3 linked regions of the Sus scrofa genome follow. The protein of the gene in region 1 interacts with the protein of each later gene in a pairwise test. Links are inferred from orthologs where the notes say so. Each region holds a gene or a part of one and is shown in the gene's direction. Other genes may lie near its edges.

Region 1 (3,915 bases):
GAATGAAACTGCCTTTTTTTTTTTTTTTTAACAGTGGCAGCAACTGTACATTTTTAAAGAAAATTAGAGAAGCCAGCCTTGGCTTACCTCTAAACTGGGGTGTAAAAGTCCCAGCCAGTCTGGCAGTGAAACTCCAGTCTCTTGGAGTGACCATGAGATTAACTAAGCATCTATTGGGTACTTACTGGATGCTAGCATTAAGAGCATTTCTGGTCTTAATTCATTTTACCATCCTACCCTGGGCGGTTGGTACTCAACAGATTCAGAGACCGAGGCCCAGAGAGGTAGAAGGGTTTGCCCAGAGTCACACAGCATCAATGAACCAGTCTGTCTGGCTTGAATTTGAGCTCTCAGCTTTCAACCTGTCACCCTCATGGCGGGGGGCCTTTGAGAAATGCCCTAAGCTCATCTTTGCTGGAGGAGCCTGAGAGAGGACAGTGGTCACCATCTCTATTACCTGATGGTGGAAATTTACACACACACTCACACACACACACACACACACACACACACACACACACACACACACACACACACACACACACACACACCAGGGAAATCAGGGCCCACAAGACAGGCTGGGTGGTTCCTTGGTAAATCCAGTCCTGAGCCCTGCCAGTCAGCTCCGGCCTTCACAGACTCTGGGCAGGATCTATTTATTCCTCCCTTCCCTTGCTGGAGAGTTTGCCCCAGTAGTTGAGACCGTAGCTTCTGAAGCCAGCTTCTGGGCTGTGTGACCTTGAGCCTGTTCACTCAGCCTCTCTGGGCTTCCACTGCGTCATCTGCAAAAGGAGAGTGACATTAATAGCCTCGACCTCGTCAGGTTTCAGGATAAGTAAAAGTTTCTCTGAATCCCTGTCTGACCTACAGTCAGGGCATTTGCTCTGACTTTTGTTATTTTTCTTATTATTTTCATGGCTTTCTTATTAATTTCATTATTTTCCCCAGCTCTCAAAGGTTGGTTTCATCATCCCCATGTTTTAGTTAGGACACTTGATGCTCCCCCTGCCCCATCTTCATAGAGGAGGAAGTGTCTGTCCCCCTGCACAATGGGGGGAAACTCAGCCCAGCCCCCTCCCCTCCCCTTGTTCTTCTTCAGTCTGAAACTCGAATGTGACAAGCTGGCCAGCGAGAAGTCAGAGATGCAGCGTCATTATGTGATGGTAAGCCAGCCCCAGGGGCCAGCAGGCAGGGATGGTGGACCCCAGAGCCCCCTCTGGCACCAGCAGCTGCTGCCCGAACCCTGGCCACCTCCTCAGGGATGTGCGAGGAGTCAGGGTCTGCTCTCCATTCAGCCAGCCCTTGGGCCGGGCTCAGTCCGTCTTGCTGGCCTGGCTGCCGGCCCAGGCAGTGGCCGAGGTGCCAAACCACCGGGTTGCAGCCTGGGCCTGCCAGGTCCCCCGGCTGTCCTTGGCAGCCGTGGAGGCAGTGGCTGTGAAAGCCAGGAACTGACGTGGGGGAGCAGCCGGATCCCTCCCCGCCCCCATGGTCCTGGCCTCCCAGGTTTAACCCCTCCTCACCCAGGCTTGGCTGGCCCCAGGACCCCTGGAGGCCCCCCTCTCCAGGGAGGAGGCTGACACTCTTCTGACACTCTTGCATGGGGGGGGGGGCTACATTCGATACCCTGCCCCCTTGCACACCTCCAAAATCACTTGCTCAGCTTCATACCCACCAGGCGGCAATTTCTGCATCCAAAACCCCTGCCTTGGTCCAGCCAAGAGCCCACTTCTCCCAGGCTATAGGGGAGGCAGAGCCACACATTGAACCTCTGATCTGGCCTCAGAGGGACAGGGCTGGGGCAGAGAGAGGGACTGGGGGACTCCAGAGGAAGGTGCTTCTAGTTTGAGCAGCTGCATGGACAATGGGGCATTGCAGCTGGGGTCTTGAAGAATGAGTAAGAGCTTGCTGGGTAGAGAAGGGGAGACCACACAAAGGCCCGGGAACAAACTTGACTCCCCTCCCCCTCCCCCTGGGTGATGGGGAACCATGGGATGGTTTAGAGCAGGGGAGGGGCCAGGGTCAGATATGGGGCGTGAGGAGGGGGGCTGCTGGCCTCAGAGGCAGACCCAGCAGGATTTGTTTATGCTCAGATTATTTATACCCAGGAAGGCAAACTTCCCTGAAGTCAGGGCCACCCGCAGACAAGACACATAAAGATAAAAGATTAGGAGCCTTGGAATGTGTATGAGTTGGAGAGGCCCCCCCATCGTTATTCCAGGAACATGGGCACCCAAGCCACTGCTGGGGCCCTGATGCTTCCCGAGGCTTCCCCAGCAGAGCCCCCACCACGCACCTGGACCCTGTTCCTGGTGTGGGTGTCTCTCCCCTTCCATTCCCTCCAACCTGCTTCTCCATCTCTCTCGCCTGCCTTTCCCTCTGGCTGTCTCTTGATTTCTTCCCTCTCTGCCTCTTTGTCTTTCCGTAGCTCCCCCCATCCTTTGTCTCTCGAGCCCCCCTATCCTTCACCCGCCCCCATTTCTCTCTCTCTCTGTCTCCCCCCACACAGTACTATGAAATGTCCTACGGCTTGAACATCGAGATGCACAAGCAGGTACGCCCCCTCCTTCCCCCTCTCCTCCGCCCCATGCCCCACTTGGGCACCCCTAGGCAGGTAGGAGCCCGCCCTTGGCTGAGCACCAAGTCTGCCCTGGTATCCTGTTACCACCAAAGCCCCTGTTCTGTTCTTTCTCTGGCCTTCCTGGGAGGTTTATCTCCGGGAGGGGGAGGGGCAGAGACTTTCCTGGGACCTGCCACCCCCATCCCATTGTCTCCCCTTGTGAAGGGGCTTGGGAGGGATGTGGGGGCGGTGGATGGGGGTGGGGATGTGGAGGTGTGTGACATGTGCCAACATGCCCTGGGGCCCCCAGATTGCCCCTCGCCCTCTGGCCTTGCTCTTGCCACCTGTGCCCTGGCGAGGCCAATATCAGGTATGTTGTGAAATGACGATGCCAGCCGTCCCCTGCCACTTGCTCCCTCCCTCCCATGGAGCACTCACTACCTACTAAGAGCTGAGCATCATCTTTCCACTGCCACCGAGACCCTGGATTCCCTCTGACCTGTGCTCTTAGCTACAGGGCAGAGATCCAGCCTTGGATGCCACCTTTAAAGGTGCCTGTGAGCCTGAAGAGTTGATCCACCGTGGGCCGAGCTGGCCTTCTCTCAGATTAGACAGAACCCCCGGGCCTCCTAGGGCTGGTCTGCACCTGCCCCAGCTGCCCGCCCAGGACTGAAGCGTCTGTGTGTTCCAGGCTGAGATCGTCAAGAGGCTGAATGGGATATGTGCCCAGGTCCTGCCCTACCTTTCCCAAGAGGTGAGTGGATCCCCCAGGGCTGCAGGGAGGAGAAGGTAGATGGACCTTGAACTTTCCTCAGGCCCTCCCCACTGCAGCCAGCCATCAGGCAGGCGGCAGAGAGCTGGGTGCCCCAGGGCACATGCCTTCCTACTCTGGACCTCCCAGCCACTAGCCAGCCTGTGCAGAAGAATCCCCAAGCTGGGAGTTGTCACTGTGGCTCAGCGATGATGAACCCAGCTAGTACCCATGAGGACTCGGGTTCGATTCCTGTCCTCACTCAGTGGGTTAAGGATCTGACGTCGCTGTGAGCTGTGGTGTGGGTCGCAGACATGGCTTGGATCCCAAGTTGCAGTGGCTGTGGCTGTGATGTAGGCTGGCAGGTGCAGCTCCAATTCAACCCCTAGCTTGGGAATTTCCATATGTCGCAGATGTGGCCCTAAAAAGATTTAAAAAAAAAAAAAGAAGAAGAAGAATCCCCAGGCTGGAGAAACTCCAGGGGTGCAGGGTACTGAAGGGAGGGGCCTCACCCTCTGTGGAATTCCCAGCCCCAGTGAGTCATTTCACATAAAAAATGTCAGCTATGCCACCAAAGACTGCACCAAGAATCTCGTTTCCTTGTTTT
Region 2 (4,524 bases), on another chromosome or scaffold:
GCTCAGCAGTAAGGAACCCAACTAGTATCCATGAAGACGTGGGTTTGATCCCTGGCCCCACTCAGTGGCTTGAGGATCCGTCATTGCTGTGAGCTGTGGTGTAGACCTCAGCTTGGATCCGGTGTTGCTGTGGCTGTGGGTGTAGGCCGGCAACTACAGCTCTGATTCAACCCCTAGCCTGGGTGCGGCCCTAAAAAGACAAAATAAATAAATAAATAAATAAAGCCTACTTGGCTCATAGGCCCTCTTTTTTTTTTTTTTTTTTTTTGTCTTTTTGCCATTTCTTGGGCCGCTCCCGAGGCATATGGAGGTTCCCAGGCTAGGGGTCGAATTGGAGCTGTAGCCAGATCTGAGCCGCCTCTGCAACCTACACCACAGCTCACGGCAATGCCGGATCGTTAACCCACTGAGCAAGGGCAGGGACCAAACCCACAACCTCATGGTTCCTAGTCGGATTCGTTAACCACTGCGCCACGGCGGGAACTCCTCGCAGGCCCTCTTAGTGGATTGCATGAATCTGGTTTCACAGTCCCTAAACCCTGAAGCATCTTTTTTTTTGCAGGGGTGGGGTCGGGGGTGGGGTGGTAATTTAAATATTTGCCTCAGATTAGCTACTTGCACTTTCTTTCCATAAACAGACTTTTCTATACCATGAGCTAGCATGGGATCATTGGGTTTCTTAAGAATACCTATTTGAATTTTGTAGGACCTGTTTTCCGTAATTATGCTTCGCCTGAGTCTTCTCATACATTTTTACCTCCTGCTTTTACTTTTCCCATCCCTCCCAAATCAACTTCTTTTGACAAACTGTTCTCCTTCCTTCACTATAGGTTGTCCATTCATAATCTGACCCTATTCCAAGCACTCCCTTAATTTATTTAAAAAGCAACCTGCTTAATCAGTGATGAGTTTCTTTATATTTTCCTCTTCATGAATTGAGTCTCCAAAAATAAAATGGTAATAATTAATAATCCTAGAACACATAAAAAAATAATCTGCTCCACTGCCTCAGGCAGAGTAGCCACTTCAGCTACCATCCACCCTGTCGCTCAGGTGCTCTGAAATGTCTGCTTTTCCCTGGGGACTTGAGGGTCACCTTCAGAAACCTTAGGCCTTCTCAGCCCAAGTGATAATCACATGAGCAACCTCAACCTACCAATCCCTCCCTAAACCCTGCTCTCGGAACAGCCTTTGTCGGTTTCCAGGATTTGGTTCCCTCTTTCTTCCTCCTCGGCAGGAAATGACTCTCATTTTCTTCTGTCACGCTGGTCTTCAATCCAGGGATCCTTTGGGCTCACTGTTGGGGAAACTCTCCCAGATGATACCCTTAGAGACGCCGGAAAAACCCATAAGCCTTGCCCTCCCCTCCCTCGAGCAGGATTCGCCCACGTAACCCACCTTGCCACTTGCAGCGCCCTCGCACCGCAGGCCCCGGCCCGGTCCTGCGCCTGGCCGACCAATCCCCGACTCCGCTCCGGGCGCGTCACAACGGCGCCCTTGTGGCCCCACCCCCATAACCCGCCTTGGAGACTCCGCCCCGCCGCGGTCTTTACGTCCTTCCGGCTCCGTCTTGGAAGTGGGGTTGCGCCGCGTCTTTCAGGAGCGAAAGGTGGGGTTCTGCAGAGAAAACGGCCCGCGGTCACGCCGGCAGCCGGAGGCGGGGGCGGGGGCAGGGGCTCCTGGGGCTGTTGTTCCCGGGTATTTGGGCGCAGGTCTGAGGAGGGGAGGGTCAAGGCAAACCAAGGCATAAGGGCTTCCGGAAGCGCCGCGTGCGCACGACGGGCGGGAGTTGTGGACTCAGGCCTTCCGCGCGCCTGACCCCGCCCCTCGTAAGCCCCGCCCAGGGCGCGCTGCCAGAGGTTTCCATAGTGATGGTAAACAAGCCTCAACTGCCTCTGCTACAACTGCCAAGTCCCCCGCGTTCCACCCTCTTCTAGGTGCTCACAGGGTCGACCGAGGTGCCGGATGTGAAGACGAGCGGGAGCGTGGAGACTCGGAGCCCAAGGTGAGGGGTGGTAGGGGCGGCGTGTCCGAGGCCTACACACCAGAAACCGAGGCCCCTGGCATTGAGGACCGAGGAGCTGAGATTTGGGGGTCAGGGGAGGCGGGATCTGTGGTAAAGGCCTGCACCTGGGCCTACTGGAGGTTGAAGACCGTGGGGCTGAAATTTGGGGTCTGAGATCAGGAGCCACACACCTAGGGACCGACTAGGTCCTGAACGAGGACCTGGCCCACTGAGGGTGGGGCCTGCGGGACTGAGATGTGAACTTCGGGGAGGTGGGCCTGAGGCCACTGGTTTACATTCGGGGACTGGATCGCGGGGCTGAGGTTTGGTGTCAGAGGACGCAGGATCGGAAGGGAGGAAGAGCCTGGTGCGGACTCTTGGGGTGGGGAGGCAGAGCCCGAGCGCCCCTGCCTGGGGTACGGTGAAAACATGGGGCGACCGTGAGAGGGGGTTCATTTAAAAATGAAAGCAGTACTTTCACGTGGCTGCGCGCGTCAGGGAGTTGCACGGGACTGGTTGGGAACTGACTCCTCCCCCCTCCCACGTTCCCGCTCGCAGAGCCTCCACTTTCCGTCTTTGCGGCCTTTTCTTCCTCTCCGCGCCGCGTGTGTGCCCTGAGCCGGTCTGCATTTGTCTCCTGCTCTCAAAGGTAGCATGTGGATATTTTGGTTGAAACTGTTCGGTTCTTGTTGTCTTTGCCTGGTGCCCACACTTCCGCTGGGGAAACTTGGTCGGCCGTTTTTTTATTCTTCACTTATCCTTTTATCTTTGAGTGTATTTTTGCTAATTCGTGACTGCGCCCCAGAAACTGCTGGACGCTGCCGGCGCTCGCGCGGCTCCCTCTGCCTCCCAGCCCCCGCGTGGCCCACGTAAGGTGGCGCCGAGCGGTCTGGGTGACGCCGCGCGAGACGCGGGGCCCGACCGACCCTGGGCCCCGGTGTTTTACGGTTAGGAGGCCTCAAGCTCCTCCCGGTTAGTCTTTTCCTTATCAGGGGACCCCCACAGGTTCCCGCCGGACGAACCTCAGGCCCGGGAGAGCCTGCCTCCCTTCTCCGGCTACCTGCGAGCCCCGCGAGACGCCCTTCGCGGCAGTTTCCTTCCCTTGGAGGCCCTACGACAAACCAACGTGCTTCACAGCTATTTTCGAGCCAGAGAACCTGGCGTGGGGGGAAGGAGTTGCCTGCCTCGGCGGGCGGGTTGTTCAGCGGGACCGGGGCCCGAGAGCTGCTGTGGGGGTGGGGGAGGGGCCGGGTGGCCGCGGCGGCTTCCGCGGAACCGGCCGCGGCTGGCGGCGGTGGGGGGAGGGGGGCCCAGGCTCCCAAAGTTAGGGGCGGGCCTCGGTAATCGGACCCTTGTAGAGCCGGGAGAGTTAGTTGAAGGCTGCAAATAATCCTTAAACGAATGCGTCAGCGAAACTACCGGTCTTGATATTCTTACTATTACTTTTAAGTCACGTTTTTAAAAGTTAACTATTTGTGCGTTTCTAGTAAGAATGAACAAACCTCGGGTTCTCCGGTCAGACAAAAATATTAGGATCTATCAGTGAAAAGTGATGTTTTCAGTTCTAATGAAGATAAGCTCCTTCATTTTAAAATAAGTAAATTTACTAGTTAAGCAAGTTCGGCCTTTGCCTCGGGGAGCTCCTCTTAATAGTATGCGTTTCTGTAAATTGATTAGATTTATTCTTTCCGTGTTATAGTCTACTTTTTAATTTTTAACTGCTAAGCGACTGATTTTCACTTGAGTATTGTTAACGTACCTCCCTTATAAAGTAACTCAAGTAAAAATGAGAATGGTTTAAGGGGAGGGATTGATTAAACAGGAGGAGAGTTAGTCCTTTGATAAGGTCAAAACTGGGGAAGACAACAAAAGACAAAAAGACAAAAAACAAAAAGACAAAAAAAAAAAAAACTGGGGAAGAGTGGAGACACACGTGGTGCGTGCCCTTTGGAGTAGTGCCTGGTGGGGCTACAGAAGTGGGAGGGGGGCCCCCCATCGACAGAGGTGACTTTCCCATCAACCTCCCCTCTCCAGTCTGAGTTTTGGCTCTCAGACTCTTTGTGGAATCACACTGATTGGCCCTCAGTAGTCCAGACACAGAGCTAGGTGTTTTACACTTTTCTAATCACATGCCCGCGATCAGTCCATAAGGAGATATTACTGCTATCCCCATCATACAGATGTGTCCTAGAACACATCTGGGACTGTTCTTAAGTCTGTCTGACGTGGGACATCCCTCTGCCAGGACCCCTGCCTCCAGTTAGTTGCTCTGAACAAGGGTTCTTGTGGAAGACAAACGATTGGGCAGAGGGAGAACCAGGTTCATGGATTTTTTTCTCCATAAGTATTTGTATATCTAAGGACTTTTAAAATATAACACATTACCGGAGTTCCCGTCCTGGCGTAGTGGTTAACAAATCCGACTAGGAACCATGAGATTGCGGGTTCGGTCCCTGGCCTTGCTCAGTAGGTTAAGGATCGGCGTTGCAGTGAGCTGCGGTGTAGGTTGCAGGCCTGTC
Region 3 (4,682 bases), on another chromosome or scaffold:
CAGTGAGAAAATAGAACGCTGGAGCCCAGTTTTTGTTCTTTTTAGGGCCGCACCTGCGGCATTTGGAGGTCCTGCTAGAGGTCCAATCGGAGCTGCAGCTGCTGACCTACACCACAGCCACCGCAAGGCTGGATCCTTAACCCACTGAGGGAGGCCGGGGATGGAGCCCGCATCCTCATGGATGCAAGTCAGGTTCGTTACCACTGAGCCACAACCGGAATTCCCTGGAGCTCACTTTTATTAGAGGGATTGTGAGTGTCCTGGTCTGGCCTGGTCTGGCATCCAGAACAATCTGAGGCCCAGAACCTTGGCTCTGTCTCTGGTTGAGATTCTTGACCACTAGCCCAGCGCCTGCCCAGCGGTAGGAGACAGAACCCATCTGGAGCTGCATGGGCCCCTCCAGTCCTCTCCTGGCCCCTCCCCAGTTAAGCAGGAAGGGGCAGCACGCGCATCCCCCTCGGATTATCTTCGGAACCATCAGCCTGCACTAGGCTGGCTTCTGAGTTTCTTTCCTCTCTCCTCCTTCCGCACCCTGGAGGGGGAATATTGCTGCTGACTCTGGAGTAAATGCTGCCTCTGTTTGGGAGACAAAGAACAGAGTGGCTCCTCCGGGTCAGCTGTCTCTCCTTGGCTGGTCGGCTCCCTAGCCTCCCCCAGGCTTCTTCTGGGGCATTCTATGGGGGGGGAGGGGGCTTCCGGGGCTGCAGTGGGAGCTGCTGCTTGCTCCAGAGCAGCTACATTCTGTACATGTTTTCACGGGAGCTTAAAGGAATATTTTACCTTAAAGAATCTCAAACATCTCTGCTCTGGAAAGGGGGCTGTGGAAGGGGTAAGGAGGGTGGGGGACAGCAGGTGGTGCCCTGGCTGGGAGGCAACCTGGCCTGTGTACTCCTTTTAGAGCTAGCAAGATGATGTACGTGAAAAATGCCTGTGCTAACGTGTGACACTATGCATGTGCTAACTAGAGCATATGTGAAAGTGTGTCCCGGGGTTTAAAAGCACGCGTAGGCTGGAGTGTGAGAAAGAGTTGGCCATCATGTGAGAACATGCATGTGTGCAAGTGGGTGTGTATCCTAAGGAGTGTGTACAGCATTTGTGAGAAAGCATGGGGTAACGTGAGTGTGTGAGAATGTGCAAGTGTGCATAGGTACTAGCTAGAGTATGTAAGTGTGTGTGCTATGAAGTCAAGTAAACGTGTACTGGAGTTTGTGAGAGCATGCGAAGGGCAGCAAGGGAGCACTTGTGAGAAGTGTGTGTGTGAGCAGTAACTAGTGCAGTGCGTGTGAAAGTGAGGAGGTGCGTCTGAGTGTAAGTGCAAAAGCATGCGTGTTGAAATGAGCGTGGGAATGTGTGTGAGAATGTGAGTGCCTTCATGTAGACTCCCTAGAGCATGTGTGCAAATATATGTGAGTGCCGTGCATATGTGAGCACGTAGGACGGTGCGTGTGCGCCCGGATGAGCACGCATGTGTGCACAGGCATGTGCGGGGGGGGGGCGGGGGGCTTGGGGAGACCCAGCGGGAGGGTCTGTCGAAGTGGGCGGTCCCGCGTGTGAGTGTGTGAGTGTGTGCAGGAGCGAGCGCGCCGCCCCCCCACCCCCAGGGTCGGAGCCGGTTGCCATGGGAACGCGCCGCGGCCTCGAGTTAATCATTTCCTGTGGAAAGTGTGCGGGAGGGGCTGGAGCGGGGCGGGCCGAGGAGGCAGCGGCGTGGAGCAGCCTCCCGCCAGCGGGCCGGGCCGGGCCGAGCCCCGGGCACTGCGGCGACACCGGGATCCTGCCTCCGCTAGGCCGGTGAGTCCGGGGCTCCGGCGGGCAGGGGGCGAGCTGGGCTCTTGGGGTCCGCCTGACCAGTCGTTTCGGGTGCCGCGTCTGGGATCCCCCTGCCCCGCCCCGCTGGGGGGCGCGGGGAGGCCGGGCCCCGGCGATCCACCCCTTTTCTACCCTCTCCCCTCGCCGCCCCCTGCACCGTCCAGCCTGAGCCGAGCAGGGGAAGCGGGCGGCATGTCCCCTGGGATCAGAACAGCCTCGGGGCCACCTATCTGATTTCAATGGCCAGGGAAGCCGGACACTACTGGGGAACTACGTGCCGGTCAGCGCCGCCCCCTCCCCTGGCAGAGGTCCCTGGCATCCGCAGGGCTCCCCTGAAGGCTGCCGTTTCCGGCCCTCCCATCTCGTAAGCCCCTGGGCAGTTTGCTTCCCCCACCCCCGGGGCCCGGGCCGGGTGGGGTGGGCCCGAGGTTAGGAAGGAGCGCCTGGGCCAATGGTCTCCTGGGCAGAGGGGGAAATTGAGCCTTTGACAGCAGCTGCCTGGCGAGGAGGGGTCCCAGCAGGGAGGGCCAGGCAGAAGCCACCTCCTTCTACCCCCTGTTGTGAGTTAGAGCAGAACTCTGGCGCAGCAAAGGGCCTGGTCCTGGCAGATTTTAAAGAGGAAGCTGCATTTAAATTCTCAAGTACCGCCCCCCCCCCATATGTCTCAAGGTTAGGGGTCGTGATTACCCCTGGTCTGTCACCTTCCCTGGCTTTCTGTCTGCCTGAGACTGAGTGAGCACCTCTGCAGGCCCAGGCTATCCCCCTTGCCCTTGGTAAAAGTAGCCTTCTCCTTGGCCAGAGAGTCATTGGCAAGGAATGCAGTCTCAGAACGGAGTCCTGTATTTGCCGTGACTGGACTTTAGGGTGTGGGGCAATGAGTTCTGCTGTCCTCTTGGGTACCAGGGAGCAGAGGTTTCGAAATCTGGGTTGATCTGTAAAACCTAGGACGCGTGACTGTGCGCAGAGGAGGTCTAGCCCCTGTCCAACCTCCCTGACCTTCTGCCCGCTCTCCCAGGGAGACTAGGCCTTCCCGGCAGCAGTCTTTGGGCAGGTGTCACAAGTCTGTCCCCCAGTCATTGCACTATCCCTGGTCGGGGGGCAGGTGGGGGGCGGGGAGGACGCTGCAGCTCTACAACCCTGGCCTAAACCCATAGAGGCAGATGCCCCTCGCCCGCAGCCAGCCCCTCTGGCATTCACCCACCACTGGATAGAGGCCACTGAAAAATAAAATTGGGAGGTTCCCTGTAGACGCCGATATGCTTCTGAACATTGTACATAGGAATTGTCTAAACTTTACACCGATCCTATAAAGTAGCATTCTCCCCATTTCGCAGATGGAGATAATGAGGCACAGAGACAAAATAATTTTCCCAGGGTGGCACATCTAGTAAGTCGCACAGCCTGGTTCAAAACCAGCTTTTGGTCATAACCACACTCCTTGTTGGCCCCCATCCCCCTGCCCAGGACCTAGGCTTTTGAGTCTCCAGCCTTGGGCTGTTGTAAAGTCTTTGATACTTTTGACCTTCACCCCCCGCCCCCCCCCCCCCCCCCCCCCGCCACCCAGGCTGCTAAATTCAGCTGCTTTTTCCTCTTCAGGAACTTGCACACACCCTTCCTCGTTCTTGGTGATATCTTCCTGACTGCCTCCCAATTTCCCTTCCTGAAAGCCACGAAATACTGTCTCCTTGGGTCCCTGCCCCTCCGACTTCGCTGATCTCTTTGAAAGTCTTCTCCCTCAACCGTGGAATTGACCTTCAGGGCCCTTCACTAGCTCACCTTCCCCAAGGCTCCGCATGCAGGTGCAGCCTGTCTTGCTCCCCCCTCGCCCGTGGGGCAGCTGGTCCTCAGGGCTGCTCGTGGGTCCAGCTCTATGCCCAGCAGCCTGGAGAAGGGGACAGCTGGCTGCTCCTCCCAGTTCCTTCCCCTCCACGCTGGTCCTTCTCCATTTCCTCAGTGGAGCTGCCTCTGCCCTGACCTTTGGCCAGCAGTCCCGCCCACCTCCCAGGGAGACGGTGCCCAGGAGCTTCTTCCAAGGTGTCTTCCACGGTCAGGGAAGGCAGAGACTACAACGCCCTAACCAGGAGCCTGGCATTCTTCCCGGGGCTCAGCTCTGTGAACTTCACTCACCAGATCTTCGGGCCACCTATCCCTGCTCTCTGACTTCGTTGGCCTCTTGCTGCTGCTTTAGTCATTCCTGCCCCTCTATCCACCCAGCATGTGGAAATCTCTTATTCTAAATACCACATCCTCGCCTTCCCATCCAGCCAGCTTCCCTAAGAGGAGGAAGTGGCAGCTTCCGCTAGCTGCCGCCCATCCCTTGGGTCTGCTCCACTGACCTTCTCCCTTACAGAGCCCCCAGGGGCTTTCTTCCAGTTTGACCTCTCCTTTCCATTCACTCTTTGGTCACCTCTGAGGGCTCTGCACCTGCCTGATGCCTCTACCACCTCCTCCTCCATCTTTTCTTCCCGCCCAGAGTGAGCTCCACCCTCCCTGGTTGCCTCTCGTCTGGTACCACCTTTGATGATTGCATCCTTCCCTGTGGCACCGTGACCCCTGTCAGCCTCTGAGCTCTGTGTCTCCATCACCAGCCCTCTTCCAAGCTTCGGTTGGAACTTCTGGGTGCCTTCATATCAGAGCATTCATTCCCTTGGAGGTGGATGGAGCTGCTGCTCCAGGCTGGGTGCTGTGAGCCCCACCCTGGGGAGCCATAGAGGGTCCAGGGAGGTGGACAGCATTTAAATGGGGATCTTGACTGCCTGGTAGAGAGCAGTCTGTGCAGTGAGAGATGGGGAAAGTGGTCTACACCCTGGAGCCATTAGGAGGTCCTTGGGTGCCTCCAGCTCCATTTAAAAACAAAAGTAGCTGTTCCCAAT

What was found. The genes of interacting proteins can lie anywhere in the genome.
Region 2: the proteins of AES (region 1) and HNRNPF interact in binary tests that used the Homo sapiens proteins (3 or more experiments, as listed by UniProt). The two-hybrid records come from large-scale screens. The link is inferred for Sus scrofa from reciprocal best matches to the Homo sapiens genes TLE5 and HNRNPF.
Region 3: the proteins of AES (region 1) and KIFC3 interact in binary tests that used the Homo sapiens proteins (3 or more experiments, as listed by UniProt). The two-hybrid records come from large-scale screens. The link is inferred for Sus scrofa from reciprocal best matches to the Homo sapiens genes TLE5 and KIFC3.

The regions. Positions count from the first base shown.
Region 1 is NC_010444.4:75,494,933-75,498,847, forward strand, and holds part of AES (amino-terminal enhancer of split), read left to right. Parts: intron 1-1,099; coding exon 1,100-1,163; intron 1,164-2,506; coding exon 2,507-2,551; intron 2,552-3,248; coding exon 3,249-3,311; intron 3,312-3,915. UniProt on the Homo sapiens protein: Transcriptional corepressor. Acts as a dominant repressor towards other family members. Inhibits NF-kappa-B-regulated gene expression. May be required for the initiation and maintenance of the differentiated state.
Region 2 is NC_010456.5:61,664,942-61,669,465, reverse strand, and holds the start of HNRNPF (heterogeneous nuclear ribonucleoprotein F), read left to right. Parts: upstream 1-1,520; 5' UTR 1,521-1,609; intron 1,610-1,937; exon of another isoform or gene 1,938-2,005; intron 2,006-2,563; exon of another isoform or gene 2,564-2,654; intron 2,655-4,524.
Region 3 is NC_010448.4:19,693,101-19,697,782, reverse strand, and holds the start of KIFC3 (kinesin-like protein KIFC3), read left to right. Parts: upstream 1-1,678; 5' UTR 1,679-1,791; intron 1,792-3,585; exon of another isoform or gene 3,586-4,682. UniProt on the Homo sapiens protein: Minus-end microtubule-dependent motor protein. Involved in apically targeted transport. Required for zonula adherens maintenance.